Linked DNA regions of Cricetulus griseus. The protein of the gene in region 2 interacts with the protein of the main gene of each other region in a biochemical or structural test. Links are inferred from orthologs where the notes say so. Each region holds a gene or a part of one and is shown on either strand. Other genes may lie near its edges. The genes, in order: S100a11 and Anxa1.

Region 1 (4,425 bases), on a different chromosome or scaffold from region 2:
TGAGTAATTACATGAATAGCCTGTATGCCCCTGCCCCCCACACTGAACTTTAGAGGAAAATAACAGTGACCTATTCCCCAAGAGCAGGGAGAGGCTGCTGTGATGATTAGGATGCCATTAAATTAATGCCAAACTCTTGAAACCAGGCATTTCTTTGAAGAAAATGAACAGCATATCTGTAATTGTGCACTGGCAGGTAGGGGGTGGATTTTAGATGTGCCAAAGTATATTCAACTACATGTGAGGATACATATGCTTGAAGGATCAAGAGTTTGGGTTCCTGGGCTACCTAGTAAAATCACAAATAATTCTCTCTCTCTCTCTCTCTCTCTCTCTCTCTCTCTCTCTCTCTCTCTCTCTCTCTCTGTGTGTGTGTGTGTGTGTGAGTGTGAAGCTGACAACTATATACCATTAACTTAGTTGTGCAGAACTGAGGCACAAGAGGGTAACTATCATGGCAGATTACCCCCAGGTTCTCGGCTCCCAGGTTTCTTTCTGTTGACATCTGCCTTTGTTTCATCCAAATGCCACGCATTTCCACAGGAATGGTAGCTGGAATTTCTTATTACAGAGCTGAACCAAATATGTGGTTGCACCAGAAAGAGCATCAGTTCATATCCTGTGCAGGACTCTGCTTTTCTCACAGCAGAATTCCTAAAGGAAATCTTACTGGGTTGCACCACTCATTCTGTGCAGGACTGCACAGGAAAATCTGAGCCCAGAACTCAGAATTGAACTGTTGTGCTCCCCCTGGTGGATGAGTGCACAATTGCAGGATTTCTTGGAAGCTGCTGGGCCACACCCTGAAGCTTCCTTCTTGATGTTAATTAATTATGATTTGGATGGATGTTAACAATTGCAACTTAGAATTTAGCCTTTGATTTCTCTCTGATGGGCTTCTTGGATATGAAATCTGGGAGCTTTCAGGCAGTGTGATAAAGATGACAAAAGCTAGCCGGCCTGTAGCCCCTGGTTTCTGCTCCTAGCACCTCCTGTCTTTAGGCACTTTACCCTCAAAGTTGCACTGCTGTAGCCCGCTGCACCTAGGAATGTTCACCTGAACCTTCTGGAGATAAATCCTTTTTAAACAGTCACAATGTTGGAGACTTAAGCTGCCTGACAGGAAGCTTTAACTGAAGAAGATAAAAGTGTTGGTAGGTTCAAGGCCTAGAGAAACAAAGCAAAACAAAACATCACAGCCTAGAAACAAGTGCTTGCACAACATGCCCCTCCTATCAGAACTAAAATCTCAATACCTTATTACTAGTGTGTCATGTGATCGCAGAAGTTTGGCTTGGGGCACACACTAGACTGGGGAGAAGGTTCCAGGCTGATGGGCCCAGCTCTGTGTTTTCCACACCTACAGATGCTTCCTTCCCCCATATTTTGCAGAATGTATTGCTAGGGTGGGAAGGTTTTGCCCCTGTGTAGCAGTGGCTGAAAGAAAGGGCCCTCACCACACCACCGTTTTACATGATGGGACCAGTGACTGCAAGGAGGGAAACACGCGATGGAAGGACACAGTCAAAGAATTTTTAAATGCACCCTAAACATTCAACATTGCAGGAAAGCCTCCCTGTGATGGGGATATGGGAAAAAGGTAACCACACCAGTTAACTCTTTCGTTCTTAACCAAAGCCAACACTCTTCCTCCACCTCTCAACCCGTGGGTGCTGGACCCAAGGCACCCTGTGTGACGAAAAGGGGAAGAAGGAAAATAAGAGATTGGCACGCCAAAGCAGGGGTCTGCAAACTTTTTTCTTTTAAAATAAAGGGGCAGCTGTGACTACTTTGAGCTCTTTATGCTCCATAAGGTCCTGTCATTCACTGTAGCCCAGCACCAAGAGTAACAAAATACAAAAAGTGAAAGGGTGTGGAGTGCCTATAAAATTTATACATTTGATTTTCATGTATCACAAGGGATCATTTGCCTTTCGTCTTCCAACCATTTAAAAACCAAAATCTATGCTTAGTTTGGGACTAGGACCACTCTCCAAAGTTTGCTGAGCTTCTTCATTGCAGAGACAAAGGGAAGTAGACTTTACGGGTGAATTAGTGGAAAAGTCAGACAGACAAACGAGGAGACAGGCAGGTGATGCCGGGAGTGGCTAAAAAGATGGCGGGGGGGGGGGGTGAGTAAGGGGAAGAGGAAAGGAGCGGGCTGGGAGGGACTGGCCTCCTCCCACATTCTTGCCGGCGGTTCCGCGGGCAGCTGCAACAGGCTGCAGTTTCGGTGCACGTATGTGTTCCTTGGCCCCTTGCCCGCGGCTTCCGCAGCTGATTCCCCAGAACTCAGGAATGAGAACTCGGGAATAAGAATAAGTTCTGAACTGCTCACTTTCTGATCTGCACGAACGCCTGACGCCGCCGCCAGAACTTCTCCCAGATCTCCAGCTCTCCGGCGGAGTGCCCTGCCTTCCCGGAATAGGTGGCTCGGCCGAAGTCCCCGCCGCCCACTGGGTACAGGGGCGCAAGTCTCAGCGACCCCGGGGGCCACACCCAGCCCGGGCTCCGAGGCCAGTCCGGCGGCCGCACCCAGCCCTACCCTGCATCTTGCCTAGGTGAACAAAAGTCCCCGTTTCTTCCTCCAGGCTGTCATTAGGGTGTAATTTTAGGGCTTCGCGGTGCCCTCCGCTCTTCTCTAATTGCCTCCCACACGGTTTCTTCTTCCTGATCTGTTTTCTGCCACGTCCACACTTAGTCTCAGATACACCCGGCCGAGAGCACGCGTAGCTTTGCCCTTTGTTCTTTTCATTGAAACGGAAGAAAAAAAAATCTTTATAAGTTAGACTTACCAAATTGGTGAGGAGCAAAGTCGAGCGGTGACTGTGGCTGATGACAGCAGGGACAGGAGTGGCGATCAGGGTCCGGGTCCCGCCCCTCAGACTGACTCAGGCCGGGCCCTCCCCCACCCCTCCCCTCTGCAGGCCTAGGCCTGTCCCACTGCGTTCGAACTCGCTTTGCCTAGATTCACGCACAGGCACACAACACACCAGTTGTCCTCCCTGACACTCAACAGGCCTCTCTCCCTCTCTCCTGTGAATCTCAAAGATCGTTGGCTTTGGGGAAAGTCTGTCCATATGCCTAGCTCATTTCCGGTCTGGGACCATTTGCACTTCAGGTTAGATAAGCTGAATGGTTCCGTTAAAAAGAAGAATGGATCATAGTTGTCAAGGAGGGCTCTAGGATCCGGGCTGTCTATTCTATTACACTGAAGATATTTAATGAACAGTGGTGGTTTTAATTTTTTTTTTTTTTTTTGAGACAAGGTCTTCCTATGTAGCTGAGATTGATTTTGACTTTGTGTAGCAAGGGCTGGCCTCGAACTTAGGACCCTCCTACCACGGCTTCCCAAGTGCTGGATTTACAGGTATGCACCTCCTGGCCTACCTGACTGTAATGGTTATTGCCAGCAGAATATTGATGATTATTGTCTAGAGATAATTTTCATTGGGCTCTCAGGCTTTAAAATGGCAGTTAACAAAACAGAAAAATGAAAATAACCAAACTATTACAGCTAAACATTGGCCTGGGCTAGTGAGGCATTTGCCTGCCGGCATTTCAGTGAAGTTGGGGATTGAGTGAAGCACATCTGGCTTCTAATCTTCGGTCCATAACGCCACTGCAGTACTTTTGTCAAGACTGCTCTCCCCTCTGAGCTTCCATTTCCTTATCTAGAAACAAGTCGTGTCATCTTTACTATTTAGTAAACTTTTAGGACTGTCACAGAGTGAAGTCTTTGCAGGGACTCCAGAATCTGCAGCGTAGACGCAAATGGAGCTCTGTGTGAATATGCCCTAGTGTCTATTCACTGCCAGCTTCTGCTATTGACTCCTGGGTACAGGAGACCAAATCCTCTTCTCCAGTTTCATCTGTACTCACCCTCACAGCTTCTGGCCCTTGTTTAGAACCCCATTAAACAAGTCAGACATGGTGGCTCTTGCCTGTATTCTCAGCACTTGCAAGGCAGAGGCAGGAGAACTGCTGAAAGTCTGAGGGCAGCTTGTGGGCTACATAGTGAGTTCCAGACCAACCTAGGTTACAGAGTAGGTCCTTGTCTCAAAAGAAAATTAAAATCCAAACTAAAAGAAACATACTCGAAAGCCCCACCTGTGTTTGAACCTCAATAATTTAAGAAATAATTAGATTTCCCTCCCCCCACCCTCACTTCTCCATTTCTGCCAACAATGTGGCTATTTTTCCATTTTCCTTACTTGAAAACACTACCACAGTGTTTTCTTTTAAGTCTTTCTTACACATTTTTTTTTAAATCAAAGCCCTTGTAATGTCAGCTTTATTGTACTTGGACCCACCCATAATTATACTACCACACTGATCTAGTTTACATTCCCACTCCCTTTTTTTCTTTTATTTTGTAACTGGACCCTTGCCCTCCAATAAAAAAAAAAGAAACATTTAATCAAT
Region 2 (3,819 bases):
ATGTTGGTATGCAGTGATGAACTTTGTGTTATCCTTATACTCCGCCTTCCCAAAGATTCAGACCCTAAGTCTTAGCTCTGAATCTTTGGAAATCAGGGAATTTTCTTTTGCTCTTTCTTATTTCTGCATCATCTAAATATTCTTTCCTTCATTTAGGCTCTAGACATATTTTTTTGTTTCTTTTTTCTCTCATTCATTATGTTTTATTTGTATTTCTTGTTGTGACTACTCCAAAACTTTGAAAGAACAGGAATAGTGGAAATAAGTGATGTTGTCCATGCCAAAGTCACAAAGTGTGTTCTCAGTAGTGTGGACTGTGGCAGTTCAAAGCTGACAAATGGGCACATAACAGTGAGTGTTATTGCATCCATTTGATATGGAAAGACCTCTTTCTTCCCTTCCTCTTACTTCTCCTCCATAAGGAACTTTGGACCTTCCGTAAACATATTCCAGAAAAACGAACTTCTTGTTACCTTTGCGAAGATGAGATTTGCTTCTAGTAGTCAGAATTGTAATGAACACATTCGTATCTGTCCCCTTTCTCCTCTCTCCAGCCTCATACAAAGCCTATCAAGAAATGAATAAGTAAACATGTGACCATGCATTGAAATGACAAACAAAAATTATTATATTTAACAAAGGTTATATAAATAATTATGTTGTACTTAATACTATCAGAGTAGGCATCCCTGGGGTTGGCCCTTCTTGAAAGTGAAGACAATAAAGTCAGCAGTATAGTTCAAAGTGCTTTGTAAACATGATAAACAGAAGATATGGGATATCTGTTTGCTTTAAAATTACTCTGTTTACAAAGACAACTCAAAGAACTCATTAAAACAGATTTCCTTTTTCTACTTTTTATTGCTCAAAGAAATTATTAGCTTTGAGTTTCCATTTAGTTTGATGTTGGCTATTGGTTTGGTGTGTATTGTGTTTAGATATGTTCCTGTTATTCCTGTTCTCACCAAGATCTTTATCATGAAGGGATGTTGGATTTTGTCAAAGACTTTTTCGGCATCTAGTGAGATGATGATGTGGTTTTTCTTTTTCAGTTTGTTTATATGGTGGATTACATTGATGAATTTTCGTATGTTGAACCATCCTTGCATCCCTGGGATGAAGCCCATTAGCAAAAAATATCAATAAATATTTTTTTTGTTCTTTTAAGACAGGGTTTCTCTGTGTAGTTTTGTAGAACAGGCTGGCCTAGAACTCACAGAGATCTGCCTGCCTCTGCCTTCAGAGTGCTGGGCCTAAAGGTGAGTGCTACCACTGTCCAGTTAATACATAAAAATTTAATCACTGCCTAGGTCTTATATTTTCTTCCTATATCCTCAGATTTATTTGCTACTGAAGGATATGCCATTTTGATGCTATTATTTCTGTACACAAGTTTCAAATCTGAAATTTGAAAGCTGTATAATCTTAGGAAGTAATTTAAATACAGTTATTCCTCCTTTATGAACGAAGATAGTAATCCCTACCTTTTGGTTATAAGTATCTTCTACTAACTCTAAAACATTTGTTGGTTTCTCCAGACAGGATTTCTCTGGTAGCATTGGCTGTCCTAGAATTTGCTCTGTAGACCAGGCTGACCTTGAACTCAAAGTATTCAACCACCTTTGCCTCCCAAGTTGCTAATATTAAAGGTATGTACCATCACCATAACCTCAAACTTTAATTTGCTTTGGTAATGCTGAGTCATACTAATCATGTAGTCTCTGTAAATATACATCAAGGAGCCCTAGTAGTCTGGAAAGAGAATGCATAGACATGATAAGAATAATTTTATTGTAGGCAATTATGCATAATTATTGTTTTTATATGTTTGCACAATTTCTATTAAAACATAATGTTCAATGTGTTTCTTGATTTCACTTTACTCAGCAAAAATTTCCTTTCCCAGCTGGGCATGATGGTGAATGTCTCTAGTGCCAGCAATTGAGATACTGAGGACAGAGGATCTCAAATTGTGGCAACTTATAGCACAAAGGGGTTGGGCTTACATATAGCTATCTTCTTATTAAGTCAAAACTTGGGGTTTTCTCCACCCAACAGGTTTTGGGAAAGAGACAGAATCTCATTGTTCTTTCAGTCATCTCTGGCTTTCTAAACAATAAGATAAATTGGAAACATAAAGACTATATTTTCCATTCCAGGGATATAAGACTCTGTTTCTAATGAAATAAACATTAAGTAATAATTGTCTTCTCACAGGACCTGAGATGTGCTTCCACATAGTGGGAGCAAGAAGGTAGGAAGACTTGCTTCATTGATAATGTCTCCCCTTTGCTTACCCTGGCATCTGTGTCAGCCAAATCTTGATTCACACTCAAATCCTCACAGCGGTCACCCTGAAAAATGCCCAACATGTTTTAAGATTTTCTGTAGGATGTAATCACTAGATACACTTAATTCTCTTAAAACAAGACATAACTTTTGAGGAAAAACAGTGAAAACAATATCTATAATTTGCAGCAAAGTTGCTGGGAGGAACAGAAGCAAGACAGAACAAAGCAACTTTGTATGAATTCATTTAGATGTGCTTCCTAAAACACCTGAATTCATAGATGCAGACTACACATTGATGATGACCAGAGATGGTAGGATGGGGAACAAAAGGTTGGAGGATACTGATAAAAGGACACAGTCTCTAATAGATAAGAGGAGTACATTGTGGTATTACAACATAGTAAGATGAACATAATCAAAACACAGTGAGTGTTTTTAAATGACTAGAAAATAAACTTCAAACATCTCACTGAAAAAGTGGTAGGAAGTGAGATTATGAAGTTTTTATATTGCTAATTTTACATCATATATATATACGTATATATATATATATGTCTCATTATTTCCTCAAATACTTACAAGTATTATTCATCAATGAAGCAGTATTAATTTTAAAGGAAAGAGATTCTCATTCCTAGAAAATGCTCACAATTCTAAGGTTTTATTATTTATAATAGCAAAGACATTTAACCCATACCTTGGCAAGAGAAAGCAAGGCCTTCCGGAAGTCTCCAGAAGTATCCGAAGTGATGTCTTTGGCCAGATCTCTCTTTAGCTCTACAAGAAGAGAAAATAATTTTTTCAGTTAACTATTGGAAAACAACGGTGTCTGCATTAGCTTATAGTTTACAAGATTGAATGACTCATGTAACTTATCTCAAAACATTTTTGTGAAACTGGAGAAACTAGAGCAGCAGAAATTTTAGGCTATAAAATAATTTTTTATAGATCAATGGAAGAAAACTGAATAATACTCTAAATGAAAAGTTAGTAATAAATATTTGCTAACAAGAATGAATACTTTACCAAATCATTTTGAAATACAATATGTGAAAATTTGAAAAATGTTACTTGCTTGAACACTGGCTATTTATTTACCTTAAAATTATAAATATTCAATATATAATATGTTCAATGGCATGTGAGCTCATTTATTTAAAACTTGTGTCTACAGACATCATTTGGCTATAAAATATGGTGCTTTAGTAGGAAAAATAACTGAATTTACAAACAAAGCAAAAACAGCACCTTAAGCTATTTCTGGACCAAATCTTCAGGATTTTAGAGAAATGTGGATGTAAGGCTTTGTAAACTGCATTTTATCTAACACATTAACAATTATTTCTCTTGAATTATTATTACCAGGAAATGGATCTAAGACACTGGGGTAAGAATTACAGAAAATGTGGTCATATTTTGACTAATGTACTAAAGTGAGAACAATGTGCAATGTTGTTGTTCCCTGAGTACTTGGTAAGAGGGTCAGACACAAAGATGTTTCATGTGCTCACATATTAGTTTAACAAA

What was found.
Region 1: the proteins of Anxa1 (region 2) and S100a11 form a complex in vitro, tested with the Homo sapiens proteins (2 studies listed by BioGRID). The link is inferred for Cricetulus griseus from reciprocal best matches to the Homo sapiens genes ANXA1 and S100A11.

The regions. Positions count from the first base shown.
Region 1 is NW_023276806.1:62,510,773-62,515,197, forward strand, and holds the start of S100a11 (protein S100-A11), read right to left. Parts: upstream 2,950-4,425; 5' UTR 2,796-2,949; intron 1-2,795. UniProt on the Homo sapiens protein: Facilitates the differentiation and the cornification of keratinocytes.
Region 2 is NC_048596.1:40,891,245-40,895,063, reverse strand, and holds part of Anxa1 (annexin A1), read right to left. Parts: intron 3,070-3,819; coding exon 2,990-3,069; intron 2,355-2,989; coding exon 2,298-2,354; intron 568-2,297; coding exon 474-567; intron 1-473. UniProt on the Homo sapiens protein: Plays important roles in the innate immune response as effector of glucocorticoid-mediated responses and regulator of the inflammatory process. Has anti-inflammatory activity.